3 linked regions of the Macaca mulatta genome follow. The protein of the gene in region 3 interacts with the protein of the main gene of each other region in a biochemical or structural test. Links are inferred from orthologs where the notes say so. Each region holds a gene or a part of one and is shown on either strand. Other genes may lie near its edges.

Region 1 (10,695 bases), on a different chromosome or scaffold from region 3:
AGATGCCAGTATTGGCTCTGCCTCTAATTAGCTATATGGCTTTAGGCAGTTATTTTACCTTTCTGTCTCTGTGTCTTCAACTGTAAAACAGTTGTAGATGGTTGTAGTAAGGTGGTTCACCTTTCTTCACACCATACACAAAAATTAACTCAATATGTTTCAGAGGCTTAAATGCAAGAGCTAAAACTAACACTTAAAAGAAACCATAGGATAAAAAAATCTTCACAATGCTGGGTTAGTAAAGATTTCTTAGATATAACACCAAAGGCAAAATAAATAAAAGAAAAAAAGTGATAAACATCAAAATTCAAAACTTTTGTACTTTAAAAGACACCATTAAGTAAATGAAAGAGGTCAAGCACGGGGGCTCACACCTGTAACCCCAACACTTTGGGAGGCTAAAAATACAAAAAATTAGCTGGGTGTGGTGGCACACACGTGTAATCCCACCTACTCGGGAGGCTGAGACAGGAGAATTGCTTGAACCCAGGAAGCAGAGGTTGCAGTGAGCTAAGATCATGGCACTACACTCCAGCCTGGGCGACAGAGCAAGACTGCAACTCAAAAAAAAAAAAAAAAGTTAAAATTAAAGAAGGCTAGGCACAGTGGCTCATGCCTGTAATCCCAGCACTTTGGAAGGCTGAGGCAGGCGGATCGCTTGAGCCCAGGAATTTGAGATCATCCTGGGAAATGTGGCGAAACTCGGTCTCTACAAAAAACACAAAAATTAGCCAAACGTGGCGGCGTGCACCTGTAGTCCCATCTACCAGGGAGGCAGGGGTGGGAGGATCATTTGAGCCCAGGAGGTGGAGGTTGCAGTGAATTTGAGATCATCCTGGGAAATGTGGCGAAACTCGGTGTCTACAAAAGACACAAAAATTAGCCAAACATGGTGTCGTGCATCTGTAGTGCCAGCTACCAGGGAGGCAGGGATGGGAGGATCACTTGAGGCCAGGAGGTGGAGGCTGTAGTGAGCCCTGATCATGCCACTGCACTCCACCTTAGGTGACAGAGTAAGACTCAAAAAAAAAAAAAAGGAAATGAAAAGAAAAAAAAAAACTACAGATGGGAAAATATTTAAATTAAATCATATATCAGATGAAGGACACATACCCAAAATGAATACACATACCCACACTTCTATAACTCAAAAAAAAAAAAAAAAAAAAAACCAGCCAGGCACAGTGGCTCACCCCTGTAATCCCAGCACTTTGGGAGGCCAAGGCAGGTGGATCACCAGAGGTCAGGAGTTTGAGATCAGCCTGCCCAACATGGTGAAACCCCATCGCTACTAAAAACACAAAAATTAGCTGGGCATGGTGGCGAGCACCTATAATCCCAGCTACTCAGGAGGCTGAGACAGGAGAATTGCTTGAACCCAAGAGGTAGAAGTTGCAGTGAGCTGAGATCTCACCACTGTACTCCAGCCTGGGCAACAGAGCAAGACTCCATCTCAAAAAAAAAAAAAAGAGAAGAAAAAAGAAAACAACCCAATGGGCAGTCCAACTGGACAAAAGATTTGAACAGATATTTAACCAAAGAAGATCTATGAAAGCCTAATAAAATAAGCACATGAAAGGATGTTCATCATCATTAGTTATTAGGGCAATGCAAATCCAAACCACAATGAGATACCACTTCATAACCACTAGGGTGGTTACACGCAAAAAGACAACAAATGTAGAGAAATGAGAACTCTTATAATTACTAGTAGGAACATAATGGTACAGTTACTTTGAAAAACAGTTTGGCAGTTTCTTAAACAGTTAAATTTGTGATACAACCCAGCAATTCCACTCCTGGGTATACATCCAAGGAAAACGAAACATATTCATGGGATGACTTGATGTGAATACTCAAAGCAGCCTTATTCCAAACAGCCAAAAAGCAGAAACAATCCAATGCCCATTAACTGGTGTCCAATAAAAAGGAACCATGTACTACATGGCAGATGGATGAACCTCAAAAAGCATTATGGGAAGTAAAAGAAGCCAAACGCAAAGGACCACATATTATATGATTACATTTACATGAAATGTCCAGAAAGGGCAAATCTATAGAGACAGAAAGTATATTTTGCCTGGGGCTGGGGGTGGGAACAGGGAGTGACTGCAAATGGACATGAGGCATCTTTCTGGAATGATGGAAATGTTCTAAAATTGGATTGTGGTGATGACTGAACAATTATGTAAATTTACTAAAAGATTATTGAATTTTACATTTTAATCAGGTAAATCTTATGGTATATAAATTATATCTCAAATTTGTTTTTTTCAAATGAAAAAATATTTATGCTAAGTGAAAGAAACCAAACATGAAAGACCACATGTTATATGATCCCATTTATACAAATGTCCAAAAAAGGCAAGTCTATAGAGACAAAAAGTAGATTTATGGTTGCCTAAGGCTGGGGGTGGAAAAAGGAATTAACTGTAAGAAAGCACAAGAGATCTCATGGGGATGTTGGAAATACTCTAAAACTGGATTATCGTGAAGACAGTTGTACAACACAGGGAATTTACTAAAAATCACTAAACGTTCCACTTAAAATGGGTGAATTTTATATTAAATTATACCTCAGTAAAGCTGTTTTAAATCCATGAAAGATGGTCAAATCACACTGGAGTTCATAACCTTTTAAAAACCATGGACCACTTTGTGAATGTGAGGAACACTAACCCTATCCAGAAGACTGAGAGGCTACCTTTTGCCCACTCACAGACATCCTAAGGGTCTGAGGACACCAAATTAACAAATCACCAAATCTCTAGCGCCTTTGTAACTCTGAAATTCTTTGCCATCTTAACACCAAAGGCTTTGAGAATGACTACAACCACCCTCTTCACCCTAGAAAGATGGACACACTACCAGAAAAAAAATAAAAATAAAAACTCTTCTTTTAAAATGATGATAGGGAACCTCATCTTTACTTCTCTGACATCATTTTAGAATCTTCTATTTAATCCTTTCCTTCAATATGAAACTCTGACTGGCGGAACCAGAAGCAATCAGTTCAGACCGGGAACCAGCTGTCTTTAGAACCAACAAATACACGTCAAAGACCCAATAAATACGTAGCAAGCACACAGGCCCATGAAGTGGCTTAAGCAAAGATGTGATGTCTTTATTTAGTCCAGGTTTTTTTGTTTTGTTTTGTTTTTGTTTTTCCTACACAAACCAATACTGCTTTAAGCCCAGATTGTCTTACAACAAGAGGCAAGTAAAAAAAAAATTTTTTCACAAAGTTTTTTTAAAACCCACAGTGAAATAAACACCGACACTCCCAAGGCAGCTAAGAAGTCTTCAGTTGGTCTTTGTTATAAAACTAATTTTAGGGCAGGATGCTGGCAAAGTAGACAATTCTCCTTCCTCCAATACACAGGTGTCTGCTCATGTCAGTTTGATTGAGCCTGTATAGCTAAACCCACCCCCTTTTGATTTCCAAGGTCACTGGGTTATTGTTGTCCAACAAATACTCCCCTCATCCCCAGGCCCCAGCCTCCTCCCAATCCCTAGGCTTCTGTGAGAATTACAATCTGTTTGTGCAAGTTTTGGTCTCTGCCAACTGGGATTCCTGGACCCCCTTCAAATCTTTTCACACACCAGCCCAATTTATTGGATCACGTCAAGGCACTATTTGAGGGCCTCCAGTGATACATAAAATTCCAAAATCTGTAGCAAGGCTGAGAAGATCCCTAAGCTCTGGCTCCTCCCTTCCCTCTCTATCCTTGCCAGCCTTCCTTCAGGTCCTAAAACATACCAAGCTTTTCCCCTACTCAAGGCCACTGCATCTCCTCATCCCTCTGTAAGGAAAAATCTTCCTGAGGCTCTTAATCCTCACTTCTCATCCTTCAGGGCTCAATTGAAATGTCATCGCCTCAGAAAAAGAATTTTCCTTGAAATCACCCTAACTAGATCTCCAGGTTATTCTCTATCAGAACATCTTGTTTATCTCCTTCATGGCACTTGCCAAAACCTCTTCTTTTTAATTCCACCCCCCCCCCACCAAGGACGGAGTCTCGCTCTGTCGCTCAGGCTGGAGTGCTATGGTGCGATCTCGGCTCGCTGCAACCTCCGCCTCCAGGGTTTAAGGATTCTTCTGCCTCAGCCTCCCGGGTAGCTGGGACTACAGGCGAGCCCCACCACATCCAACTAATTTTTGTATTTTTAGTAGAGACGGGCTTTCACCATATTGGCCAGGCTGGTCTCAATCTCCTGACCTCGTGACCCGCACGCCTCGGCCTCCCAAAGTGCTGGGATTACAGGCGTGAGCCACCACGCCCGGCCCTTTTTAATTCTTTTTGTCTACTTATTTAATGTCTACCTCCTCGACTAGAAAGTCACTTGAAAGGAGTCAGAAGCTGGGTCTCTGTTGCTCAGCGTGGTTCCTGCAGCTTCACCTGGAGGATCCCCAGCTCGCCCCAGCACGGACCAGGAGGAAAAAACTAAAGCAGAAATCGATGGCTGTGCCCACAACTTCAAGATCCCATTTCTCACACAGCCTCGGTAAGGCCTGCCCCACACCTGCACTTTCTTTCTCTACAAGACACATGGGTCGCTCCTGTCCACACATCGGAGAATGCTGTACACAAATCTCTCCTGAGCCCCCTCAAGCCCCACCCCACGCCGCCTCACAGGCGCGCGCCTCAAAACCCCCTTCCCGTCTCACACGCGCTCGACACAAGCGTCCCACGAATTCCTGTGAGGGCTGCGCTCCCCGAGCTTCCGCGGATCCCCACGTTCCCGCGTCCCCCGCCGCCCAGCGCCGCGCCTTCCCCCTCCGCGGCGCCTGCTCTCACCGATCACCTCCTGCAGCTCGTAATCGTCCCTGTTGATGGACCAGGGCAGGGCGCTCGAGTCCTCGGACATGACGGCGGCAGCGGCTCGCGGTCCTCCCTCAAACTCGCTGACCTCGCTCGTCTCCTCGCCGCGCGTCTCCCCACCCCCAACAGCCGCCGCCGCGCCCCCACCAATCGTCTCGGAACAGCCACGGGTCGGACGGCGCCAGGGCGCGGGGTCACCGCGCGGCAGAGCGGCGGGGTCTCAGAGCTCCGGCAGACCTCGCCTCCTGCTCCTCCGCGTCCGGCACTGCCCGGCCCAGCCCACGTCCTGTCCTAGGCCTCCGCAGCAGCAGCGACAGAAGCTTTCCCTGGGCCCAGCCCCTCTGTCCCGCCCTCCACCCCAGCCCCACGCACGGGCCAAACTTTCCCTTCTCCCTCCACCTGCCGACACGCAGCGCGCTGACGTCACTGCGCTGGTCACGCCCCACCTCGGGCTCGCCTCCGGCCGCCATCTCCAGTGTGGCTGAATACAAAGTGAGCGAGCTAGAAACCCAAGAAGGTGGGAGTTGGCGGTGAAAGGGAAGAAATGTTTAGGTAGAGGTTCATCGAAGGCATCGAAAAGCCGTAGGAGAGCCTCAGGTAGCACAGAGGCAGTAGCCACACTAAGCATGGCGACCAAAGCGCAGCAAAGTAGAGGGGGCGGAGCCACTTCTAGCGCCTGGGGCACGTTGCTGGCTCCGTCGTCGCATTCATTGGTTTGTTTGAGAAGGAATCAGAAAAGCAATGGGTGTGGGTAGACGTCAGTCATAAGCTGGTCCCGCCTCCAGGCTCTTAGAGCGCTTCTCCGTGTTAGGGCTGCAGCCCTTCAAGAGCCCCATTACCCCGCTCGTCTTACCACTTCCTCTGGAGTGACGTCACGGCGTAACCGTCACACCCTCGAGACGTGCGAAAGCCTCCACGGGGTGTGGAGAAGCCCTGAGGGAGCGGCTGGGTGGGGTAGCCTTCGGGTGTGGACCACTGCCAACTAGGATAAAAGGCCTTGGGCCACCGGTCGGAGTGAAACTGGAAGTTTGCCTGGTGACATTTTTTTCAAGGCGGACGTTCTCTCTAAGGCATGCTGTGGCGCTGTCTCTCGCGGTTCCCTCCTGCATTGGGCGGGTTCTGTCCATTAGCAACTTTAGATCTGCAGCTCAAGCACCTGCCTTGAGGGCCTCGGAAGGCTTTTTCCCCCGGAACAGGGTTTGGGCTATTAAACAAGTCAGATCGACCCACAGATTTGGGGGTTGTCTCACGAGCCTTGGCTTTTGTCACCCCCACTGAACAGTTTTCTCAGTTTGACTACGTAGTGCTGTTGGAGAAATTAGCGAGCTGAAGACAACACGCTTGGTAAATTGGATTTTAAAAAATAAAGAGCATATAACAGGAATAGGGCTAGGTGCGAAACTGTTCTAGGTTGGACGCATTTCAGTCCAATGGCAGTTATTAAGGAAGAGACCTTAGGCCGGGTGCACTGGCTCATCCCAGCACTTTGGGAGGCCGAGGCGGGCGGATTACCTGAGGTCAGGAGTTCGAGACCATCCTGACCAACATGGTGAAACCCCGTCTCTACTAAAATACAAAAATTAGCCAGGCATGGTGGTACGCGCCTGTAATCCCAGCTACTAGGGAGACTGAGGCAGGAGAATCGCTTGAACCTGGGAGGCAGAGGTTGCAGTGACCCGAGAGCATGCCGCATGCCACTGCACTCCAGTAGCCGACAGACCGAGACTCCGTCTAAAAAAAAAAAGAAAGAAAAAAAAGGCTGGGTGCAGTGGCTCACGCCTGTAATCTCAGCACTTTGAGAAGCCGGGGGGTCGGGGCGGGGTTGGGGGGGGTGGGTGGATCACAAGGTCAGGGGTTCGAGACCAGCCTGGCCAATATGGTGAAACCCCGTCTCTACTAAAAAAATACAAAAAATTAGCCGGGCGTGGCAGCGCGGGACTATTCAGGAGGCTGACGCAGGAGAATGGCTTGAACCCAGGAAGCGGAAGTTGCAGTGAACGTTGATCGTGCCACTGCACTCCAGACTGGGCAACAGAGCCAGACTCCGTCTCCAAAAAAAAAAAAAAAAAAAAAAATCCTTTCCTGCAAGCCATTGGAAGTTCAGGGTTTTTTTTGTTTTGTTCTGTTTTTTTGTGGGAGACGGAGTCTTGCTCTGTTGCACAGGCTGGAGTGCAGTGGCATGATTTCGGCTCATTGCAACCTCCACATCCCATGTTCAAGTGATCCTCCTGCCTCAGCCTCCCCAGTAGCTGGGACTACAGGTGCGTGCCACCACGCCCAGCTAATTTTTGTATTTTTAGTAGAGACAGGGTTTCACCATATTGGCCAGGCTGGTCTCGAACTCCTGACCTTGTGATCCACCCACCTCGGCTTCTCAAAGTGCTGAGATTACAAGGGTGAGCCACCGCGCCCAGACTTTTTTTTTTTTTTTTTTTTTTGAGATGAAACCTCGGTCTGTCGCCCAAGCTAGAGTGCAGTGGTACTATCTCGGCTCACTGCAACCTCTGCCTCCCAGGTTCAAGCGATTCTCCTGCCTCAGCCTCCTGAGTAGCTGGGATTACAGGCGCCTGCCACCACGCCTGGCTAATTTTTGTATTTTTAGTAGAGGCGGGTTTCACCATGTTGGTCAGGCTGGGGAAGTTTAGGTCTTAAGCTTGAGCTACACCAATTCTCCTCTCCTTGCTGGGAGTCCTGCCTGTCTACTGCAGCAAAACCTGTGTGGCAATCTGGCGTTACTGCACTGGGCAAGTAGATCTTAGTTTGGTTCTAAAACACCTCCAAGGCCGGGCGCGGTGGCTCAAGCCTGTAATCCCAGCACTTTGGGAGGCCGAGACGGGCGGATCACGAGGTCAGGAGATTGAGACCATCCTGGCTAACACGGTGAAACCCCATCTCTACTAAAAAATACAAAAAACTAGCCGGGCGAGGTGGCGGGTGCCTGTAGTCCCAGCTACTCGGGAGGCTGAGGCAGGAGAATGGCGTAAACCCGGGAGGCGGAGCTTGCAGTGAGCTGAGATCCGGCCACTGCACTCCAGCCTGGACCACAAAGCGAGACTCCGTCTCAAAAATAAATAAATAAATAAATAAATAAAATAAAAAAATAAAACACCTCCAAGCACTGGAAGCTTTGTGTGAGCTCTGCTGTGGGAGGTCCAACTGACCATGAAACCAGTCAACTAGAAGCTACTAGTGGGTTTCCACCTAGTTGGTAGGATTGGAGAATGTTTCATGAAGAAGGAAGCGTTTGTACCAGACCTTGCAAAGTTAACATGATTTCAATAGATGCACATTTAGAGGATAGAATAGTCCAGGCCCAGCAAAGGTGCCACAGTTCCAGAAAGCATAGCACAGGCCTTGCTGTAAGTGGTTTCAGCCATTACTACTGACACTTTCTTTACCGTATGTTCTGCCTTTTTCTTTTTGCAGGGAGGAGAGGGATGGGATCAAATGTATCAGAAAGGAGCTAAATCTGATGGTATTAGCTTCAAAGTTTGCACCAATAGAAAGGTCTACAAATCAGAAATCCTTAACTTGGGGTTGTTAAGCTGTATGACCCATGGACATAATTCAGTTTTGTTTTTTGTTTTTCTCCCTGGCACAGTGGCTCAAACCTGTAATCCCAGCATTTTGGGAGGCCCAGGCAGGTGAATCACGTGAGGTCAGGAGTTCGAGACCAGCCTGGCCAACACGGTAAAATCCCATCTCTACTAAAAATACAAAAATTAGCCAGGCATGGTGGCTGGCGCCTGTAATCCCAGCTACTCAGGAGATTGAGGCAGGAGAATCGCTTGAACCAAGGAGGCAGAGGTTGTAGTGAGCCAAGATCATGCCACTGCACTCCAACCTCAGCAAAAGAGTGTGAGACTCCATCTCAAAAAAGAAATTATATATATATATATAATATATAAAAAATAGGTATAGAAATATAATAGGATATACTTCAGGGAGAGATTTTGGCAACCTTCCTCCTTTCTTCCCCTTCCCCAGTGAAAAGGAGCTGCTAATCTAACAGTGAAAATTCGAGATGTTAATTGGCCCATGTTCTTGGCAGGCAGGGTCACCAATGGATTTTGTTCTGCCTCCTCCACAAGCATAGCTTGATGGATTAGTTGAGCCAGAACCAGCTCTGCAGATCTGTTCATTTCATTTATCCTGTCTCCTTGATTTTCTCCATGTAGCCTGATAGAGGTTGGGATTCTGTGAGATTTTAATATGCAAGGAATTGGCAGCTCTTTGAGGTCAGAATCCAAACCTCAACCTCATTCTCAGCCTGTTGAGTACCTTCCATGTGAAAGAGAGTATTGTCATAAACACTGAGTATAAAGTGGTGACCAAAGCAGACTCAGTTTCTGTTTTCAGGGAACAGTCTCGTAGAAAACAGTAAGCAACTAAGCAAATCGTGTAGGAAAAGGCAAGTATACTGTGACAGAGAATAGTTAGGAAGCCAGCCATGTGGTGAGTACAGTTGACCCTTGAACAACACAGGTTTGGACTATGGGGTCTACTCGTAATAATACATGGATTTTCTTCTGTTTCTGCTACCCCAAGACAGCAAGACCAACCAGCCACTCCTTTTCCTTCTTGTCCTCAGTCTACTCAATGCGAAGACAATGAGAAGCCCTTTGTGATGATCCACGTCCACCTAATGAGTAGTAAATATATTTTCTCTTCCTTAGATTTTTAAAATTTTCTTTTCTGTAGCTTTATTGTAAGAATACAGTATATAATACATGTAACTACAAAATATGTGTTAATCTAGTTTATGTTATCAGTAAGACTTCCGATCAACAGTAGGCTATTAGTAATTAAGTTTTGGAGGACCCAAAGTTATATATGGATTTTTGACTGTGCAGGTGGTCGGTAACCCTAATGTCCTCATTTTTCAAGAGTCAATTGTATTTTAAACGGGGTACAGTGGGGATTTGGGGCACTTTTGAAACTTTTAATAAATGCTTTTATTCCTATTATATTATGCTGCTGCTTTTTGTATATAGCTCTGTCAGTAGTCTTTAGGGGATGGGGAAGAGGGAAGGTAGGATGATTCTGGAACTGTGGCCCTTTTATCAGAATTTCACCAAATCCTACCTAGGTTTCTTGGAAGTATGGCATATTTTCCTGAGGAGAGGGAGCTTATTTTTCCTTACATTTTCAAAGGAGCCCTTGTCTTAGTTTGGGCTCCCCTAACATCAGACTCAGAGACCAGGATTTGGGTACAAATAGTTTGTTTAGTAGGTGACTCCAAGAGGCAACTCCACTTTTGAAGAAGTGGAGAAGTAAGAAAGGAAAGGAAGGATAGTCATTAAGGGTGTGTTAATGAGGGGTCACTGTGTGGGCAACCAGGCTTAATCCTGCTGTGAGCCATCTGGGAAACTATGGAACACATTTCAGAATTGTCTCACTAAGAGGTAAGGAAGCTGAGCTATTATCCCACCAACTCTCTTCCTCTTTAGGGTGTTAACACTCCTGCACCTCTACCCAGCTCAGTGCTTGGAAAAGCATGCTCCTAAGGTTGGAGAATGCACTCGTGCAGACATAGGCAGTCCTCCTCTTATGTTAGAACTCTCTAAAAGCAAACTCCAGAGTAGGCTCAAAGGCTATGAGCCCAGTATAGACAGCATCTGCTGCTGTGCATAAACCCAAAAGTTGAGACTCACTGTCTGAACTGAGAAACGGGAAACAAAAGCATATTCATGCTTCTCCTTCTTACTTTATTGCCCTTAAGCAACTTATTTGCATTGGGCTTTGCTTTTAGTGCCTGCAGAATAGAGGAAAAAAGACTGATTTCAAGACTAGTGATGTCTTGAAGTGGGGAATTATAGCTGTAACAATTCAAGTTTTATAGGCTCCTTTGAATCAAGTCTAAAAATTAATG
Region 2 (10,782 bases), on a different chromosome or scaffold from region 3:
GGGAGTGGTGGCGGGCGCCTGTAGTCCCAGCTACTCTGGAGGCTGAGGCAGGAGAATGGCGTGAACCCGGGAGGCGGAGCTTGCAGTGAGCCGAGATGGCGCCACTGCACTCCAGTCTGGGCGACAGAGCAAAACTCTGTCTCAGAAAAAAACAAAAAAACGAAAAAACCTACCAGCACATGTTCAATCTATTTTTTACATGGTTTATTAGTGCTCTATTCCGTTTAACCTAGTTTGAACATTCATCCAGAAAATGAAAAAAAAAAAAAGGTTAGTTTGATGATGGCAAATTTCATCAAATAAAGCACTTTTTAGGAAAACTCACACAAAAATTATCTTGTCCAGATCTGTCTTACCAATTCAAAACTTAGCAAGCAAAATCCTAAAAATCCAAATCTGGGTGCAGGGAAATCAAGAGGTTTCTTTCCCTGACTTTGTTTTTGCAGTTGAAAACTTTACTTTGCCAAAAAGTATTTCCAAAATGGAAAAATTTGGTTTCAATTATCATGGTTGAAATGCATGCACATCTGCTTCAGGCAGCAGTGATGCCCAAAACTTTTTACAGAATTTTCTATCCCTGACTTCTAAGGTTCGGGGAGGACTAAGTGACTTGCCACTGGGAACAGAAAAAAGGCGAGGTTGCTCAACACTTGCTCTTCCCTGGGTCTTGCCAGCATTTAACCTGACATTAGAAAACTCAACATTTAAAGTATACTGGCTTTCAAAGTCTTGTCTCCTCAGAAAATATTCTCTATCTGTCGTTCCTGGATCAAAGGTAAATAGATGAGCTCCTTTGGATCAGAAGTTCCCTGAGGTCCAGGAACAGGCTCTCCTTCGTAAAAACCAGTCAGTAAGAACTATCCTCTGAGGACACCTCACACAAAATCACAGCACAGTGCCCGGTACATGATGCCCGTCTCAAGCAGGGGCATCGCTGTGCTTCTGATGAAGAAAATAATCATGATTTTAAGAAAAATAGACAATTAACTTCCCCTTTTTATGATGCTTCTTCCAAAGTTGTGCTGCTCTGTAACTCTTGCAGATCTGCCACAGTCTGGGCCTCAATGTTTTTTTTATTGTGGTAAAATAGATGTAATATAAAATTTATAATTTTAACCATTTTTAAGTACAGTCGTACTGTTGTACAACCATCACCACCATCCATCTCCAGGATTCTTTCATCTTCCCAAACTGAAATTCTCTATCCATTAAACAATAACTTCCCCACTCCTCCCTCCCTCCAGCCCCTGGCAACCATTTTACTTTCTGTCTCTATGAATCTGACTAACCATTTATTTTGAAATTTTATTTTAAGCTATCCACAAGGCTGATTTCCAGAACTGAAATAAAATCCCAATTGCAAGGACAACTGCCATTTGTGATACCTATCTTCTCTACATACCCACTCACATGGACACAATTTATCATTGTAATAGCTAACAGCCAGAGACCCTTTCCCTTTGCAAAAGAGAAGACAAAATCACCTTCGTCTGACTGGTCAAGCCACAGTGATTCTCCCACAGAGGGAACTGGGGAAGACTCAGTATCATAAGTTCCAGGAGAGACCTGGAAATCTAGAAAGATACAGCAAAGGTTAGTGCAAATTCACAAGTTCTTCTTGAGATTTTGGCCTGAACAAACATGTATCCAGCCCATGGTTCCAAATCACTGAGGCAACTAGATGCCACAGGTTGTCTATAAAAAGAAAGATTAAGGTAGATCTTGATGAAACCTAAAAGAAGAAATGCCAAGCCCTATGGGGGAACTTACTATACGGAGATAGTTTTAGGTAAGAAGCAAGATGATGGCCTGATAAGCTCCCTCATTTCCTCATGGAAATGGTTCTACTTAATCTGCTTTGGATGATAAACAGAGAGAGGTCCTAAAATATGCCTTGGTTAGTAACCCAGCAGCGAGGTATAGGCTACAACATAGCAATAGGTGGATACCAATGATAATAGCAACTACCATCTCCTGAGTACTCACTCAGTGCCTAAAAAACTTTACTAGGTACCTTACACATATTGTATCATTTAATCTTCACAACAGCTCTATGAAGTATAAGTACTGTTATTATTTCCTTTACACAAAAGAGAAAAATTAGTTCTGAAAAGAGTGTGACACACTCAAGGTCACACTGTAAAGTAGATTCACCACTAGGTCTAAGTTACTCCAAAGCCCATGCTTTTAATTAATAGCCTTTCAAGGTACAAAGTATTTTCATACCCTCGTGGCAAAGAAAAAAAATTGTTCATTAGCAATCTCTTGGTTGAAATTTTGTAATGCTTAAAAACAGCCCCAATTAAGATTCAGCAGGTTAAGTGTGGAACAAGCACCAGATTCAGGATCCCTCCAGTCTCTGGAGGTTGGACATGTGATCCTAGGCAAGTCACTCAGCTTCTCCGGACCTCAATTTCCCAGGGAACTTGCAAAACAAGGCTACTTCCCTCTGTTCTCCCCCCTACCTCAAAGCATTCCATGGAGTCAGTTACCCGTGCTAAGATAATAAGGCTGATATCCAAAGATGAACCTATTGGCCAAAGGCTTCAGTCTCTTCTCTCACCAACTTTCTTTTTAGTTATCAGAGCCTCACACAAAGGTTATTAGTTAATCAGCTAATAACTATTCAGCACCTGCTATTTGTGTACCCACACAGTAGTCAATGGGCGTATTTAGAAGTACAAGGTACTAGCCTTGCCCTTGAGGACCTGTCTCCAAGTTTGGGGACTGCTAAGATATATGAAATAAAAGCACTAAAAGATCTGATGGGCCTATTATTCAGTGTCCAACTATGAGATGCAAACTAGAGGGATTAGAATTCAGAAGAACATCAGCCAGGACTAGAAAAGCTGAGTTTCCAAGATAAAGTAGAATTTTAGAATAACCTTGATAGATAACTTTTGCAAAATTAGAAGGGAAAGACATCCAGCAAAAGAAACTCTGGGAGCTAAGGATATGAGGCTAGATGAAGTAATGTATAGGATGGGTGATCATGAAAGAGATCAATAGAATTGTTAGTAGGTTTATGAGTGAGCAGTGGGAATGGGAACAGGAGTTGGAGTTCAGAAGACTTGAATGCCTGGCATGGTAAGCTGGGCTTGAGGCAGGAACAAAAGGTATGACCTGGGTGACCTGGTGAACATTGGAAGCTGCTCGGTTTGGATTTCTTGTCTACCATCTGCCTTCAGCAGAGGAAAAGTACAAGAACATGTGCAACCTGGTGTTCTAAAGCCATAGACATCAGCCATCCCAGCTGAGAGGCCCCAGGACAGGGGCAGGGACTCATTACATTTCTGAACACAGAACTGGGAACACAGTGCCCCAAACCATTTGATCCGCTGCTAGTAGTCTCACACTGATCTCTCAACCCCAGTTACACCACAGATCAAGCAAATAGGCATGGCCCAGAATCTCTAAACCTTCATCACATCAGCCCCATTCTCTGCCACCTACCAGACCAATGGAACACTGTTTGGGGGACCAAAGACACTGCTCACCTCTGCCCCACACCTAGGAAACAAGCCTTCACATGTTCTGCTGCCCAGCAGGCCACATGCAGTTCAACACTAAACTCCTGTTACAAAGAGCACCCAGAAAGACGATGCACCAGCAGCACAGTCAGTCCCAGGCTCTTCCTGTGGGAGTCATCAAGAACACAATTCCCAGGGCCTCTACGGACAAAAGAATGAGATGACACTCAACCATCATGCCAGTTCTAATAGGGTCTAGAGATGTTCAATGGCATCATTGAGCCCCGTGAGACGCAGAAGTCACAACAACTCATGAAAAGGAAAGTGTTCACTGAGAGATTCTCTAGTGTTGACTTAGTTGAGCCTATTATTGTTAACCAGATAGTTACTGTCTGCATCAAACTGGCAACCTGGAGCAGCAGCCTTCCCCTCAGTGGTGCACTGCCATGGCCGGACCCCTCCCTGCAGTGCTCTCTCCTCGGATAAAATGGCAAGCCCTGTACTCTACCAACTGCAGACCAAAGAATGAAGAGGTTGGCACTCAAGAGATATTTTACTTCATAGACAGAGGAATGTCACCTCTGCACTGCACTGAGTACTTTCACAATGAAAGATTCAGATCTTCAGATAACAATTTAAAAATTTAGATGGGTGTGCCTGCCAGGATCTAACTGCCTCGCTAGTTAGATCCAGCTCAACAAAAGTACTTGAAATCTTTTCTGCTGGTTCGTATTTCAAAAGAAATCCCTGATGGAGGAAGCACAGACCTTCCAGTATAACTCATAAACTTTTCAATACAAATATGAAACTCAGTTCAGAGCAAGTGTCATCTGACTGGATTTCTCTCCTTCATCCCTGAATGTGTGTGTATACAGGCATACACGGCGTGCCTGCGCGCACACACACACACAGCCATCAGCATGGCATGCCTGCTGAAGATTCGAGCACTCCTGCGTGAAAATGCAAGTACACTATGTCAGGCCGGCCCCACTATGACATCAAAAACCCCCCACCAAAGAAAAAACACCCCGGGAAAGTAGCCAGGAAAGGGAAACGCCTCCTTGAAACAGCCTGAGAAAGGCAATCTAATTCAGCCTGTGCTGAAACTATTCCCGAACACCAGCCAGGAAGTCCCTTCTTTCAGGGTGCTCCGCTGCCTAGCAAACCCAGACCTGCCTTTGCGGAAGCCAGATCTCTGGAGATTCAAGCCCTGGAATGGGTGGTTTGGAAAGCGGCTTTCCTGCTCTTGCTCTGCCGCCCTTTGAGATCCATCAGTGGCCAGGTTTTCCAACCCTGCCTAGCCAATGCAAGCACAAAAGCTGGTGGCTGTACCGCAAGCACACATTTACTTATATACACACACAACACAGCACATACTTATACATACATACCTTTCACCCTCCATTGTGTGAGGCCCAGTCAGGGTGGTAGCCGCTGAACTGTGTGCATGCACCCGGGAATCCTAGTTCTGTTCTTGATTCTCCCAGCAGACCAGTGGGAGATCTGATCAGCAACAGTGATTCAGCATGGCTGCAAGTGAAGCCTCCTCCCTTCTCAATCCTCCTTCCTCTGACTTACTCGCAGCAGCTTCTACCGCAAAAGCAGCAGCAGCAGAAAATGTCTTACCCAGAGCTCCCTGCAGCCCTTTCAGCTGCTAAAAGCAGCAACCCACTTGCTCCCCCTCCCCCGCAGGCTTGCTGCTCCTTGGTCTCCTAGGAACGGCAGCAGCTCCAGCGACCCAGGTGCACTGCCACCTTTCCAGCTGCCTCTGCATCTGCCCAGGCATCCCCAGCCCAGGCGATTAGCCCGCCCCTGGGGCTCCTGCCTCCTCTGTCTAGGCTGCAAAGAATCAGGCAGTTCGTCACTAGCCCGAGAAATACTGGCCCCTACACCCTCCCCTGCCCCCATAGGCTATGAGTCTGTCAGCCTGGCCAGATTGCTGGAATGAGGAGGCCCCTCTGTGGCCTGCAGTGGAGTTTATCATCCACCTGGGGAAATTCACTTGTAGGTCACAGTTTATGTTCCAAATCCTCCTCCCAAATTCTATAGTAGCTCTGAGTGTCTGATAGATGGGGAGAAGTTAAGGAAAAAGCACCTGACAGAAGTGAGAAGAACACAGAGAGAAATTAAAAGAATACAGAGAGAAATTGGAAAATTAGTCGAAAAAGAGAGGTAGTACAAATAGGTGAAACGGAAACAAACCCTATTTTACTCCAAGAGGCCAAAGACTACTGCAGTAAAGCTATCACAATGAATACTAAAATATCTTAGCACAATCCTAAAATATCTTCCTAAAATCTGTCATATTGGAATTTAACTTAAGCTGTGGCTCCAACTAGTAAGTCTCCCACTGAACCCCCATATCCAGCCAAAGATCTTTCACATCCTGTAATCTCCAGCTGCTAAGCTTCTATTTAGACTAATTTAACTCTCCCTGCCTGGAAAGGCTTCTCCAATCCCAGTCCTTTAGTCTTTCTGGGAGGCTAGTCAAAATCCCATGTCTTCATAACTTCCCGAATCACACCAATGACAGCCAATCACCACCAAAATAGCTACAAACTATACTGTCCTGTATTGTCATCTCACACCTAGCTAATTCATTATTTATAAATCTTCTTTCCCAAACTAAAACATAATCTTGTGGAAGGCAGGAGGCCAGTCTGTATATCCTAGCCACAGAGGCTTAGAGGTAACTGGGGCAATTAGCCACAAAAAGTGGTGCAGAAGCTACCCTAATGCCTCAGAAAAATCAGCTATGAGCATCTCTCTTCTGGGACCCCTCAAGACACTCCTGGGCTTTTCCGAATCTGCACCAGCTCTCACTGGGTGAGTGACTTTCCTGAGTAGTGTTCTCCACACTCTGGACCTCATGCTCAGCTACTCATTCACAATATAGGGTCAAGACCAGACAGTCTTTAGAGTCCCTTTCAGCTCCAAAATCACAGGATTCTAAAAATGTTTTAAATGGTCTGTTTTTCTTCTCAGAGTAATCTGTATGATTGTTTAAGAAGAAACACTAGGCTCTAATGTTTTGTAGGGGGCTTCAAGGAGGATAACATGATGTAGGTGAAAGTATGAAGAGACGCTTAGTAAATCTATCATTCTTATCATTTTAACCTGATAAATGTCTTCACTACTACAAAGCTCTAAAACCACAGAAGGAAGAGAGAAACACTGGGGTGACAGAAAGTAAAAGTAACTAATACTTTATATAGCCTCCTGAACTCAAACTGGCTACAGGGTTATTCTCAAAGATTACCTCCCCTGGCACCTCAGTGTTCTCTTAGACGAGGCCATTACTCAAACTCACTCTTTCTCAAGTGAGAAGAGGCCTGGATAATTTCATTTACACCCCACAGGGCTGTATCTTCACTTCTTCCTTTCACAACAATACCCCTCCTATCTTGTTCCCTCTATGTCCCTTCCTCCTCTAATCAGCCTTGTGGCCCTGCTCCAGATATTTCCTCTTGAGGTCAATCACAGGGACCACAAAAAACTGAACATCACAAATAAGGAAATTGAATCTCGGAATCCATGCCAGAGTTCAGACATCCACCAGGAAGACAACTGGGTGATTCATAAAAGGGACATAAGAAAGAGATGACTCCTTTGCACATACCCACGTTTACATATTCGCCTTACAGGAAGGTGGGGAAATGCCACATCTAATACACCAGACAGAAAGAAAAAAGATCCAAAAAGGAAATATGTAAGGGTTGTGGGTATTCAAGTTTCAAAATACAACTATTAAGAGCCAATATCAAAACCCACAAAATTTCCCTGCAACCCACTTTTGCCATGCTAACCGATATCATTATAATGTATGTGTCAAAACCATACTACTACACCTTCATACTTTATTCACCACTCACGATTCACAGGAAGTAGACAGAATAGAGAATACTCAGAAGACGCCATTTAGAAAAGAAAGCTCATCTTAAGCAAAAAGAACAAAGCTGGAGGCACCACATTAACTGACTTCAAACTATACTACAAGGCTATAGTAACCAAATCAGTATGGTATTGGTATAAAAACAGACACATAGACCAATGGAACAGAAAAGAGAACCCAGAAATAAAGCTGTTCACCTACAACCAACTGATTTTCAACAAAGTCAACAAAAATAAGCAATAGGGAAAGGACTTCCTATTCAATAAATGATATTGGGATAACTGGCTATCCATATGCAGAAGAATGAAACTGGACCCTATCACCATATATAAAAATTAACTCAGCCAGGTGCAGTGGCTCATGCCTGTAATCCCGACACTTTGGGAGGCCAAGGCAGGCAGATCACCTGAGGTCAAGAGTTTGAGACCAGCCTGGCCAACCTGGCAAAACCCCATCTTTACTAAAAATACTAAAATTAGTCAGGTGTGGTGGCATGTGCCTGTAGTCTCAGCTACTTGGGAGCCTGAGGCAGAAGGATCATTTGAACCCAGAGGTTACAGTGAGCCGAGATTGTACCACTGTACTCCAGCCTGGGTGACAGAGTGAGACTCTGTCTCAAAAAATAAAATAAAATAAAATAAACTCAAGATGCAGTAAACAATTAAATGTAAGACCTAAAACTATTAAAATCCCAGGGAAAAAACCTAGGAAATACCCTTCTAGACATTGACCTTGGCAAAGAAGTTACAACTAAGTCCTCAAAAGCAATTGCAGCAAAAGCAAAAATGACAAGTAGGACCTAATAAAACTAAAGAGCTTCTGTATAGCAAAAGAAACTATCAACAGAGTAAACAGTGTACGGAATAGGAGAAAACATTCATAAACTGCATCTGACAAAGGTCTAATATGCAGAATCTATAAGGAATTTAACTCAACAAGCAAAAAACATATAAACCCATTTTGAAAAGTGGGCAATGGACATGAACAGACGTTTCTCAAAAGAAGACATACAAACAGCCAACAAATATGAAAAAATGCTCGTCATCACTACTCACCAGAGAAATGCAAATCAAAACCACAATGAGATACCATCTCATCTCACACCCGTCAAAATGACTGTTACTAAAAAGTCAAAAAATAACAGATGTTGCCAAGGCTGTGGAGGAAAGGGAATGCTTATACGCTGCTGGTGAATGTAAATTAGTTCAGCTACTATGGAAGGCAGTCTGGAGATTTCTCAAAGAACTAAAAATAGAACCACCTTTTGACCCAGCAATCCCATTACTATGTATATGCTCAAAAGAAAATAAACCATCCTACTAAAAAGGTACACACACTTGCATGTTCATTACAGCACTACTCAAAATAGCAAAGACAAAAAATCAAGTTAGGTGCCCATCAATGGTGGACTCAATAAAGAATGTGTGGTATATATACGCCATGGAATACTACATGGTCATAAAAAAGAACAAAATCATGTCCTTTGAGGCAACATGAAAGCAGTGAGAGGCCATTATTCTATGTGAATTAATGCAGAAACAGAAAACCAAATGTCACATGTCCTCACTTATAAGTGGGAGCTAAACACTGGGCACATATGGACATGAAGATGGGAACAATAGATACTGGGGACTACTAGAGGATGGAGGGAGGGAAAAGGGGTGATATGATTTGGATGTTGGTAGGATCCAAATCTCATGCTGGAATGTAATCCTCAGTGTTAGAGTTGGAGATAGGGCCTAGTGGGAGGTAATTGGGTCATAGGGGCAGATCACTCATAATAGTTTCACGCTGTCCCCAAAATAATGAGTGAGTTCCCACTCTGAGTTCATTCAAGATCTGGTTGTTTAAAAGTGTGTGGCACCCTCCTCCTCACTCTTGCCTCTGCTCTCATCGTGTGATATACCAGGTCCCCCTTTGCCTTCCACCATGATTGTGAGCTTCCTGAGGCTTCCGCAGAAGCAGATGCCAGCACGCTTCCTGTACAGCCTGCAGAGCCATGAGCCAATTAAACCTCTTTTCTTTATAAATTACCTAGCCTCGGGTATTTCTTTATAGCAACACAATAACCATCTAATACAAGGAGCAAGCCTTAAAAGGTAGTTGAAAAGCTACTGGGTACCATGCTCGTTACCTAGGTGACAGGATCATTCATACCCCAAACCTCAGCATCATGCAAGATACCCATGTAACAAACCTGTACATGTACCCCTTGATCTAAAATTAAAGTTGAAATTTAAAAAAAAAAAGGAAGAAAGGTTATCTAGCAAAACCAGGGACAGAGCTGAGTCAGGAAGCAAAGTCTCCAGACTCCTAGCACAAAGTTCCTACCCCCAATATTTTCCAGTTTCAGAGATACATTTTACATTTTCTACCTTATTATCCAAATGTTCTCTGGACCACAGCCTGAACCTGTTTGCTCTAGGCTAATTTTCCTGACTGGACTTCAGATTAAGGACAGTTGCTGTTGGAGTCTTGCAGTAGAGGAGAGTCAAAAGAATGAAAGTGGTATCTGTCTGGAGAAAAAGGTACCATCGTCGGATTGCCCAGCAATAATAGTGTCTTAGTCCAGCGGGCCCCAACCTTTTTGGCACCAGGGATCAGTTTCATGGAAGGCAACTTTTCCAAGGATGGGGGTGGGGGGTCAGGGAGGATGATGGTTTCAGGATGAAACTGTTCCACCTTAGATCATCAGGCATTAGATAGCTTTTCAAGGAGTGCACAACCTAGATCCCTTGCATGCACAGTTCACAATAGGATTCATGCTCCTAGGTGAATCTAATGCCACTGCTGAGCTAACAGGAGACAGAGGTCAGGTGGTCATGCTCACCTACCGGCTGCTCACCTCCTGCTGTGCATTCCAGTTCTTAACAGGCCACGGACCAGTACCGGTTGTGACCTGGGGACCCCCATCTTAGCCTAGTCCTTCCCACACCCCAGCCTTCTTCTACAGCTTATCAAAAGTCCCCAGTGACCCCAGATCTCTACCCCAATTTATTCAGTTATCTACACCAACTTTGTTTAGAATCATTCAGCTCTTATGTGGCTTAGGAAGAAACCATGTTGGGAGGAGAAACTTCTTTAAGCTGGGTTTTATCTAGAAAGTTCTCTCTTCCATACTCTATCTCTGTATAGGGAGCCAGTACAGTTTATCTGAAGACAGCTAAGCCAATCATTCTTCCTTGTAAATGCCCTTTTTCTTTTCTCGCTTTTACCCTCCTTCTCCAGGACATCAGTTCCTCACATTGGCAGGCACCATAACACAGTACAATGGTCCCACACCTAGCTGTGCATCAGAAACATCTGCCCAGCTGGTTAAAATGGTAGGTGTCGGATCAATAGGCATGAAGAAAGTTTTAGGGTTATAGAAATGTTCTGTATCTTGACTGTGGTAATACCTGCACAACTGTATACAAGTAC
Region 3 (10,608 bases):
TAATCCTCTTCCAAACAAAATATTAAGAGCTTCTGACAATTTCTCTTCAAACTGAAAAGCTCCCCTTTTAAGATTTGAGAAATTAAGTTGACAAAGCAAAAAGCTCCCCAAATCCAACTAAGTTTAATACATTCCATTTGTAACAGGTGACAACTTATAGCCTTCTAAATGAATATTTAAGTATCCTTTGTTATATTTTATATAACACTTAACATTTTTCAAAGTACTTTCACATAGTATTTCAGTTGATCTTCAACAATCCTAAATCAGTAAGACATATCGCTAATAAATGAGCATTACAGATTAAGTTCCTTACTCAAGGTCAGAAAATTCGGTAATCTAGAACTCAAGGGTTCTGCCTTGGTGCTCCTTTTCATTGTATAGTATTCTATTACACCATAGTGAACTTTCTAAAGACTAATGGATTAGACAAAGTATATAAACAATTTCAATATGATAAATAAATACTGTAAGAATTATATATGAGATCCACCAAAAGAAAATCTGCTTTCCAGATTCATGCAAAGAAGATGAGACAAGGAACTTAGCAGATTCTGAAAATAAGCAGTTCAGAAAGGTTGGCATTTGGGTGATGGGTCACAGAATTAGAATATTAGGAAAGGCCAGGTAAAGCTAAGGAATTTAAAAGCACCAGTACGTAAAGGTCAATACCTGCTTTCCTCCTCCTCCAAGAATAGTAGTTAAGTTTTGCTATATGATTTTTCAAGCATAAATATAAACAAACAAAATCTTCACAGATTCCCTCAAAAGGACATCCTAAAAAAGATGCTGCATCATCATAGTTAATATTTATGTGGCAGGCCCTGTCCTACATGTTTAATATATGTTCATTCATTTAATCAGCACAACTCTATAAAGTGGGTGCTCTTTTTTACACCCATTTTACAGACAGGAAACTGTAGCACAAAACTTGCTTATAGAATCCAGGCAATCTAGTTCTTAACTACTATGTTACAAGGCAGAAAAATGGCCTCTTCAAACATAAACTGAGGTCACGCTAAGTCTTACCTATTCCTGCAGACCAGGTTTTAAAACAAAACAAAACATCTGGGCACAGTGGCTCAAGCCTGTAATCCCAGCGCTTTGGGAGGCCAAGGCGGGCAGATCACGAGGTCAGGTGTTCAAGACCAGCCTGGCCAACATGGTGAAACCCCGTCTCTACTAAAAATACAAAAATTAGCCGGGCGTGGTGGCGGGCACCTGTAATCCTAGCTACTCAGGAGGCTGAGGCAGGAGAATCACTTGAACCTGGGAGGTGGAGGTTGCAGTGAGCCGAGATCGAGCCACTGTACTCTAGCCTGGGCGACAGAGTGAGACTTTGTCTCAAAAAACAAACAAACAAAAGAAAAAACTCAAATAAAATACAAGTTACTAAATATATAATTTAAATTATCAACATAATTTACAGAACTGGTATAGCAAAGGTGTACTAATTATGAATTATTTCATAGTATGCTAAATATTTTCAGAAACGATAATTGAGTATAGCTACTCTTGCTGCTTTTACAGCTTTATCTAAAAAAGTGTAAAAACTACCAGAAAACCCAAATAACAGGTTTAGGATGATTTCTGAAAATGAGAGCCCAGTTTTAATTGAATGTTTCCATAGGGACGAACTAAGATGTATTTTATTTATATTTATATACATATATTTTTTATTTTTTTGAATTTCTTTGATAAGCTGCTGGTGGAATAAGATGAATTTTAAATGAATTTGAATGTCAAGAAATGAATTGTCACCAAGCAACAATAGATTCCTAGTTTGTTTTACACAAAAACAACCTCTTCCCAGGTTTGTAGATTACTTCTCAGACTGTGTTACCATGGGTCAGAAAAAAGGTAAGAGAAAAAATTTTGCCAATACTCCTAATCAATGACTTTGAGGATTTAAGAACAAACTCCAAAAACTATTTCCTGAGATGGAAAGTTATGCTGATTCTCATCCTAAAAAATAAGGAATGTGGCACAAATTTAAAAAGAGGGAAAAAAATCACCAACATTCAAATAGAGAGATTCAGTTCAATGAGATATTTTAAGAACTATAGCAAAGAAATAAATTATGGTTTCTTAATCACAGAACCACATCCCATTTCTGTAACACTGCTAAACTTTTCACAAAATATTAATGTCATATACTGATGACATATAGTCTTAATAAAAGACAAAGAAAAGTAAGCAGTTAAGTATATTGAAGCTTCGACAAAAATATGATTTGCTCCCTTTTCAGGTAGATGTGGAAACAATCTCATCAACATATAATGCATCATGTGAACTCTTCAAAGGCAACTTGGGGGGAAGGCGCTTAAAATAAATCATTCTTAAATCTGTGCATCAATGTTTTATTTATTTCTTTTTTTTTTTTTTTGAAACGGAGTCTCGCCCTTTCGCCCAGGTTGGAGTGCAATGGCGCGATCTAGACTCACTTCAACCTCCGCCTCCCGGGTTCAAACGATTCTCCTGCCTCAGCCTTCCGAGTAGCTGGGATTACAGGGGCACGGATCACGCCCAGCTAATTTTTGTATTTTTAGTAGAGATGGGGTTTCACCATGTTGGCCAGGCTGGTCTCGAACGCCTGACCATGTGATCCGCCCACCTTGGCCTCCCAAAGTGCTGGGATTACATGCATGAGCCACCACATCCGGCTGCATCAATGTCAGGCCCAACAGTAGTATTTTCTGACCAAGACAATCAAATACTAAAATTAAGGTGCACTACTTGTCTAATAAAACCAGGTAAAGAAATCTGCATCTTAAACAACTCAGTAATTACTGAAGATCCTGTGGTGTCAAAATATTACCTACGTATTATTTACTAAGAATTGATGCTTGTAATTAGCTGGGTGTGGTGGGCGCCTGTATTCCCAGCTACTTGGGAGGCTGAGGCAGGAGAATCGCTTGAACCCAGGAGGTGGAGGTTGCAGTGAGCTGAGATCGAGCCACTGCACTCTAGCCTGGAGATAGACCAAGACTCCGTCTCTTTTTTTTGGGGGGGGAAAAAAAAGAAAAGAATTGATGCTTGTTTTACTAAAGAGCAGTGCATAGTATAACATGATTCTAAAAAATAAGCTTGGCAGAAAACAGCTTGAATTGTATACCACATTCACCCATCCACGAAAGCCTATTTATATCTCAATTTGAAGTGATGAAAATCAATACCCAAAACAGAAGCCTGAAATTTGCCATGGGTATAGGACCAGGTCCTCCAGAAATCCAACAGCCACTTCCACACCAAAACAATATTGCTTCATTTGAAATTACTTATTAGCCATCTACTGGACTACAAATACTTTATCATCTCCCAAATTATTAGATCCTAACTAGCTTTTGTTCTTCATCTACCTAATCAAGTTATTTACCTGCTCTATGATTTCACTTTTCTTATTTGTCAAATAAATAGATGGGCAGGATAACCTAAGATTTCTTCCAGTTTTAATACACTAAGATTTTTAAGTCAACAACTTAACACAATATTCTCCTGTCTTGCTTCAGAAATATGTGTATATTAAAAGGATACATTTAGCGAAAAAGTTTCTATCTTCCCAACGCTTTAGTAATCCCTTGGGCTTGTCCTTTAATTTGGCTCCAAAGATAAAAGTTCAAACACTGACCCAGTGAATACTTTATTAGGCATATAGTGCAACTGTCCTGGTCAAAAAACCAAAAATACTTCCTAACTGCTGCTATAAAGGATTTTTCAGATAGGATAATCTTTTCAAAATCAAAACAAAAAATTATAGAGGCACAGACAAATGACATGGAAGTTTCTAAATCAGGTACCACTTAATAAGCTAGGATTCATCTAGTTCTGCAGCCAAATCCGGAAATGACTCAAAAATAATATGCAATATAAGATTTTCTTTAGTTTAGTCATGCCCATGCCTAGATAATTAAAAATCCAAAAAGCTACCAGTTCTAAGAAAACCTGAGAAGCTTAGACAAAGTTTGTATCATGATATTAGACAAATTAAGTTTTTTTCACTGTATTATCAGTTCCAAGATAATAAAGTATCAGAAAATTCCAGGTGATAAAGGGAAAACACACATCACATTCTGAAAAGTCTCAGAAGTGAAATAATTAAAACTAACAAAATTAATTCATAAAGTGCTCAACAAGTAATTGGGTCCAGTCTCAAAAAAGTAAGGTAACCGGTTAAGGAAAAAAAAAATTGTTAAAAAGCACCTATTCAAATATAGAACTATAATGGAAGAATAAAATTCCAGCATCAGTAGCAATAGGCGTCGAAAGTACAAGAAAGAAATGTAAATTCTGTAAATTTCTGCCTGTAAACCAAAAGGAATCAGACATAAGTTGTTTTTGTTTTTGAGACAGAGTCTCGCTCTGTCACCATGCTGCAGTGCAATGGTGTGATCTCCACTCACTGCAACCTCCGCCTCTCGGGTTCAAGCTATTATCCTGCCTCAGCCTCCCAAGTATTGGGATTACAGGCGCGTGCCACCATACCCGGCTAATTTTTGTATTTTTAGTACAGTCGGGGTTTCGCTATGTTGGTCAGGCTGGTCTCAAACTCCTGACCTCGTGATCCACCCGCCTTGGCTTCCCAAAGTGCTGGAATTACAGGCGTGAGCCACCGCGCCTGGCCCAGACTAAGTTTTTTGAGTATGACTGACGAAAAGGAATAGTTTTCGTTGTTGTTTTTTTTTTTAAGATCTGTCACCTTTCCAATTCTAAAATACTATAAAATTAATGAGTACTTTTAATTTCACACTACTTTAGAAGTTCTACATCATTAACTGTAAAAGTTAAGAAATGATTATGTTTGTAAATAACTTCTTAGTTTTTAAGTTTACTTCCACATGCTGTGTTAATTTCACATTTGATATGGCCTTAATTATTTGGAACCTGACATTCAAAGGGTTACATGTTAACATATTAGTTCATGGATAAAACAAGTTCCAAGATCATTCAGTTATTTTCATATCCTGTATGAGGCTGGTCTAATGACATTTTTTTATGTATGCATAATGTGGCTGACTTTTTTCCTTCAGTATAACCCTGCTCCTACTAATAACCTATGTTCACCTATGCCCAGTCAGGGCAACATTCAAGCAAGCTGCTTCAGTTAGTCAAGCAACAAGTAGCGCAAACTCAGCTGTTTAAACCTAGAATGTACTAGTCAACCAGAATGACACACCATTATTTACACCACTAGAGGTTAAAAAAGGAAGTATTGAGACTCCTTTGGACTCTTGGGAAAGTTTAGCTTAAAAATATTTTATAAGATTAAAATAATGATGATGACATTACAACTCTCAAAGCACTTACACAATTTTGCATGGGCTCCTGTACTATTCGCTGTATAGTGAATGGGCTGAAAGACGTTAGTTTAACGAACAATGTCAGAGCAATGCTGCTACTGTAAGGCTTAAGCATCATTAGGTAGAACAACATCAAACATTTATTTGCACGTCACTACTGCCAAGGCATTCATCCAAAAGGGGCAGAGAAGAGTCTTTTTTAATACTTATTTTATACTAAATGCCTGTGCAACCATCAAGTAAGATATATCCAGAAGTACAAGGTCGTTCTCATTTAAAAAGAACAGCCTGATCTCAGGAATGGAAACACGCTTCTACGCCCAGAGGCAGCTCATCACTGCAGAGCCTCTGATGAGACTGAAACGCACAGAGGAAGAAGCATCTGTACTTTCAACTTCCCCCCTCATTCCAAGTTCCTTGCCAGACACTAAACCAGGAGACAATTCGTTTATACTGAGATGACCTTCACCACCCCTGCCCGGTAGCAAATCCCTCTGGCTACCAGTAATTCTTACCCTATCCCAACACCGAGGCACATGCTCCACATTCTCCTAATTTCAACCCCTTTCAAAAGTTGACCTCCCCCTCCCACTCGGAGTCCAACAGTTAGAGAATGCCAAGTGAAGGGTGAACTCATCAACTGGCTTCGCCAAGCCAAATTTGGGATCCAGAGGACCTTCAAATAAAGAAGTAGGTGGGGCTTTACCTGCAGTTCACACCAGGCGACTTCCACAGTGGTTTCAGTGTCCAGACCTTTGTAGACCGTCTTAAAGGAGCCTCTGCCGATTTCGATGTCAAACTTGAGAAAGCGGCCATCGTTAGACATTCCCACGGCCTTGGTCTCCAGCTCTTCGATATCATCCTGCTGCTGGCTCCGTTCCTCCTGCGGCTCCTTGGCGCTGCCGCCGCCGCTGCCACTTCTCGCTGGCGGCGGCTCCTCTTTGCTCCCCACAAGGCTAGGCTGGGACACTGGGCGGTCTTTGCTGGTACTGCTGGGGACAGTCGAGGGGGCAGGGCCCGCGACGGCCTGTTCCCCAGGGGCGGCAGCGGCTGGAGGCTGCTGGGCTACCTGAGAAGCGGCGGTGGCGGCCACGGTCTCTTCCCGGTGGGGCTCCGGTGGGGCACTCTGCGGGACAACCGCGGGGATGCCGGGCTGGGGGAGGGCAAGAGGGAGGCCGGGGAGCTCCAACGCAGTGGCATTGGAGTCGCAGATGACACTCCGGCGGAAGAAGCGGTGCTCGGTGGTGGTGGTGGTCGCGGCCGCCCCGCGGCTGTCCTTGTCCATCGTGTGGCGGCGGCGCCGGTACTCCTCAGTCCTGCCGGTCCCGGCGTCGGCGGCCGCGGCCCCCAGTTTCTCCCCCACGGAGGAATCGGAGCTGGAGCCATTCTTGGGGACAGGAGCCGGCGGCGAGAGGAACAGGGAGCCGGGAGTGCTGCTCTGCTTCTCCGCGGCGCCGCCAGACATGGTCGGTTCGCTGGCGAGAGGCGAGCGGGCTCGGAGTCGCGGATGGAAAGGGCGTGAGGGCCGAGCCGCCCGCGCGGAGGTCTGCAGGGCACCGCGGCCGGGCGGGTTCGCGCCGACCCGGAGACGCCTCACTCAGCACTGACCAGCCGCAGCGAGGGCGAGGCGGGCCGCTGGCACCGAGACTGCTGCGGCTCGCGAGGAGGGCTCGAAGGCGGGCGAGTCGGGAGCGGAGCCGCGGGGGTTAGCGCCGCACGGTCCGCATCCATCCTGCGGCGAGCGGCGGCCGGGCGGGCGGCGGCAGCGGAGGCGCCGCAGTCATGAGGGGAGGGCCCGGGGCCGGCACCGAGTCGAGGCGGATGCGGCGGACGCGGCTCCCACTGCCCCGCTCGCCGAGCCGGGCGGGCTAGGCCCAGAGGGCGGCGGCGCCGCGAGCACGGGACCAGGTCCGACGCCCGGGCGGTGGCAGCCCCGGGGCAGGGAGTGGGAGGGGCCGAGGCGAGCGAGGAAGGCCGCGGCCCGGCTCCGGTCACTCGGCGGCCGCCGCCTCCCACACGCGCCCCCCGCGATGGGGACCGGCCTCACTGGTCGCCCATCGCCCCGGGGCGAAGGGCCGGAGCCTCGGAGCCTCGGCGCCTGAGGAGCGGGCCCCCCCTTCCCCGAGGCCTCCCCGCCCGCCCCGGGCCTGGCGAACCCGCCTCCTCCCGGGCCGGTGCCGGGGGCTGACGGCGGAGGGAACGGCGGGGAGGGGAGGGCCGCTCACCGCGGGGCCCGAGCTCCGCTGCTTCTCTGAGGCAAGAGGAGAGGAGACCTAGAGGACTGGGTGAGGGGGAACAGGGAGAGAAAAGAGCAGTCACCCCCACCAGGCGCCTTCTGTCACCGAAGACGGGGGTGCGGAGGGGCCGAGAGAGGAGCCGCGTCCGCCCGGGAAACTCTCTGCGCTAAATGGCGCCGGGAGTCTGAAGCCTCCACACAGCCCGCTCGGATCCCGCCCCCCGCCGCCCGGGGCAGCCCCACCCCCCACCTCGCTCCGGGGTTTTGCGCAGGCGTGCCAGCCCCGAGGCACCTTGGGACTTATAGTTTACGGGTTGGAGGAGATGAACGGGACCTAGGAGAAAAGTGCCTACGACTTCCGTGATGCCTCGCGGTTGCTGTAGCCTGATGCCTCGTGGGAGTTGTAGTTTTCTTTAGAAACCGTCCCTTCTGAAAGGCTGATGGGAGCGTCATCGCGGGTCGCTCAACCCCATCCTGAAGTCCGCGCGAGCTTAGGAAAATCATTATTTAGGGATTAATTGTGGAAGAAGGGAAGGAAGGGAAAAAAAAAAAAGAGGAAGGTGGGGGGGAGATGGAAAGACTCCCATCATGCTCTGCTAAGCGAGAGAGCTCTTAGGGTTGCCATGCAATGAAAAATGATCTGTTGTTCATCTTTAATGGAGAGAGCCGCAGTAGTGTTGAGTGACTGCAGGGCTGTGGGGGTGGAGGGGAAGGGTAAAGCCGGATAACCGGAGCCTGAGTTCTGAGTCGGAGGAGGGGAAAAGAAACTTTGTGAAGATGGTGCATGAAATTAATATTGATTAAATGGATTGGAGGAGGAGACAGGGAGGATTATCTTCCATCCTCCTCCCCTCAACAATTAAGGCCACATTCTCAGCTCCCGCCCGACACGGATATTCCGGCTCTCAAAAAAGGGCTGCCTGACTGAAATCGGGGATCCTAGTGAACTCCCTCTTGGCTTTGCCTGAAAGATAATAAAAGCGGGGTTGGGGGAGCGGTGGATTCAAGAAAAGATAAGGTCTACGGATCTACGGGTCTTTGGCCACACTTGGGGGGCTGGGCTGACTTCTGCCTTTGTAGTTGGTTGAAACTTATTTTCCACCTTTCTTCTGCTGGGTGGCTCCGTGAAACAACACCCCCTCTTTCTCCAGAGCTCCTCAGTGTCCACATGCAACGTCTACCAGGGCCCTGGGCCCGGGAAACGTGGAGCCCTGCGGCTCGCCGCCATGGCATGTTTTTCTTGAAAGCATCCTTGTCTCCCTGGACCCCTGTGCTCCTCGCAGCTCCTCAAGATGCGGAGGGGACGAGCACCAGGGGGCACCAGACGGAGTAGGAGGCCGGACTCGGGAGCAGATGGCAGTTTAAAAGCCTCGGTCCAACCGGTGGAGAGCGGGAAGCGCGGAAAACGTACGCAACCGCATCAGAGCGTCCGGGCGCGGCCGCCTCTCTTGGGCGCCCGCTGCGGAACCAGCTCGGAAGCGCGCGTCCCGGGCAGAGGACCACGCTGCGAGCGAGCAGCCAGCGAGGAACTCGGCAGGAGGTTCCTTAGCACAGTTCTCGGATGAGCTCCACCTGCAGAATTCTTGCCGTGCAGTTCATGTTAATTCATCTGATCCGTAAAATGGTTAATGCTGTTTTCTTTCTCTTTTTGTTGTTGTTTATCACAAGCTACCCTTTCGAGTTTACAACAATGTTTGAAGCCAATGATTGTGAGGTTTCACGAAGCTGACAGGTTGTGAACATTTTAAAATGCCAATTCAGTAGGGACAACTAGAGTACTAAAATATTAGTGTTCCATTGCTCTAGAAAATGTATCTTTCATTCGTTTGCTGCGGGTAATGGTAAATAATCTCATTATGGTAAATGGAATTAAGAGTGTATTTCTAACCGTAAACCTACTGTAAGCAAGGGAAGAAATGGCCGTAAAATACATTTTTATTATACTTCTTGAGTCAAATAAAACTTGCCCAATTGTTGCTTCAGGAGGAAAAATAGTCTGATTTTAAACATAAGGCAGCTAATTACAAATTGGCAAGTTAAAAGAAGATCAGTAAATCACAATGTTCCCTTTTGGCACCATAAAAAAATTAGGATATTTTTGTGTGAGTGGTTATTAAAGGATTTTATTATTGCCTGTTCCTGTTTACTGAGCCCTGAAACTTTGGCCACACTGCATTGGACACAAGTCCCTTGATAATCACCATGCCCTATCAACATGTCTTTTCAACCAGGAACAACTAAATTCATTGTAAGTAATTTAATTAATTGTTGACTTAAAACCACACTTGCCTAGGAGACAGCTTTTCCCACTTGTGTAATGTTAGCTTTACAATGAAAACAGATACAATTTTAAGTTGAATATAATCTTGTTACGTACAATGATTAGATTTAAAGGTTATGTTGTTTGGTGTGCATATTTTACTAACACTTTTTTGTTCACTTTTTTTTTTTTTTTTGAGAGAGTCTCATTCTGTTACCCAGGCTGTAGTCCAGTGGCTTGATCCCGGCTCACTCAGTTCTTTTTAATGCTTACCAACCTATCTCCAAGTAAATGATATTTTCTGTTACTCATTACTATAATTCCTAATAGTACTTTTCCTTTCTCTGTTGTTTCAATTATCGAGTAAAGAATCAACCTCTCTGTATTCCGTATAAAACATCAAGTGACTGTAAACAGAGGTAACAAAGAAACCAGGATACAATGAATGCACTCAGCTCAGAGGTTTGACTTCCTGACATTTGGTTCCACAAGGATACAAGTATGTTATTCTCTCTCACCATTTCTCTGTTCTCTCTAGTTCTTGTTCATGTTCTCACATTGATTGATTCATGTTTCTTTCTATTCCCATCCATTCACATTTTTCGTTTACATGGTTTCTGCCATTGGTAACTAGCTAGCAATGAAAGAGACACTTTTGATTTAGACAGTGACTGAAATATCCTGAACACACAAGATCTGCCTTACTTTGAATGTGGCATAATATTAATACATAAAGTTGCTTCTTGAAGTGTAGGGGAAAAAATTGTCCCATCTTAAGAGCATTTCTCTTTTTTTCTTTGTCTCCTTCCCCTCAT

The links.
Region 1: of the proteins of WNK1 (region 3) and OXSR1, one has a biochemical effect on the other in vitro, tested with the Homo sapiens proteins (2 studies listed by BioGRID and IntAct, with this or other methods). The link is inferred for Macaca mulatta from reciprocal best matches to the Homo sapiens genes WNK1 and OXSR1.
Region 2: of the proteins of WNK1 (region 3) and KLHL3, one has a biochemical effect on the other in vitro, tested with the Homo sapiens proteins (2 studies listed by BioGRID). The link is inferred for Macaca mulatta from reciprocal best matches to the Homo sapiens genes WNK1 and KLHL3.

Annotation. Positions count from the first base shown.
Region 1 is NC_133407.1:100,415,920-100,426,614, reverse strand, and holds the start of OXSR1 (serine/threonine-protein kinase OSR1), read right to left. Parts: upstream 4,955-10,695; 5' UTR 4,870-4,954; coding exon 4,800-4,869; intron 1-4,799. UniProt on the Homo sapiens protein: Effector serine/threonine-protein kinase component of the WNK-SPAK/OSR1 kinase cascade, which is involved in various processes, such as ion transport, response to hypertonic stress and blood pressure.
Region 2 is NC_133411.1:146,582,594-146,593,375, forward strand, and holds the start of KLHL3 (kelch-like protein 3), read right to left. Parts: upstream 5,112-10,782; 5' UTR 4,876-5,111; coding exon 4,862-4,875; intron 1-4,861. UniProt on the Homo sapiens protein: Substrate-specific adapter of a BCR (BTB-CUL3-RBX1) E3 ubiquitin ligase complex that acts as a regulator of ion transport in the distal nephron.
Region 3 is NC_133416.1:1,531,693-1,542,300, reverse strand, and holds the start of WNK1 (serine/threonine-protein kinase WNK1), read right to left. Parts: upstream 7,162-10,608; 5' UTR 6,763-7,161; coding exon 6,004-6,762; intron 1-6,003. UniProt on the Homo sapiens protein: Serine/threonine-protein kinase component of the WNK1-SPAK/OSR1 kinase cascade, which acts as a key regulator of blood pressure and regulatory volume increase by promoting ion influx.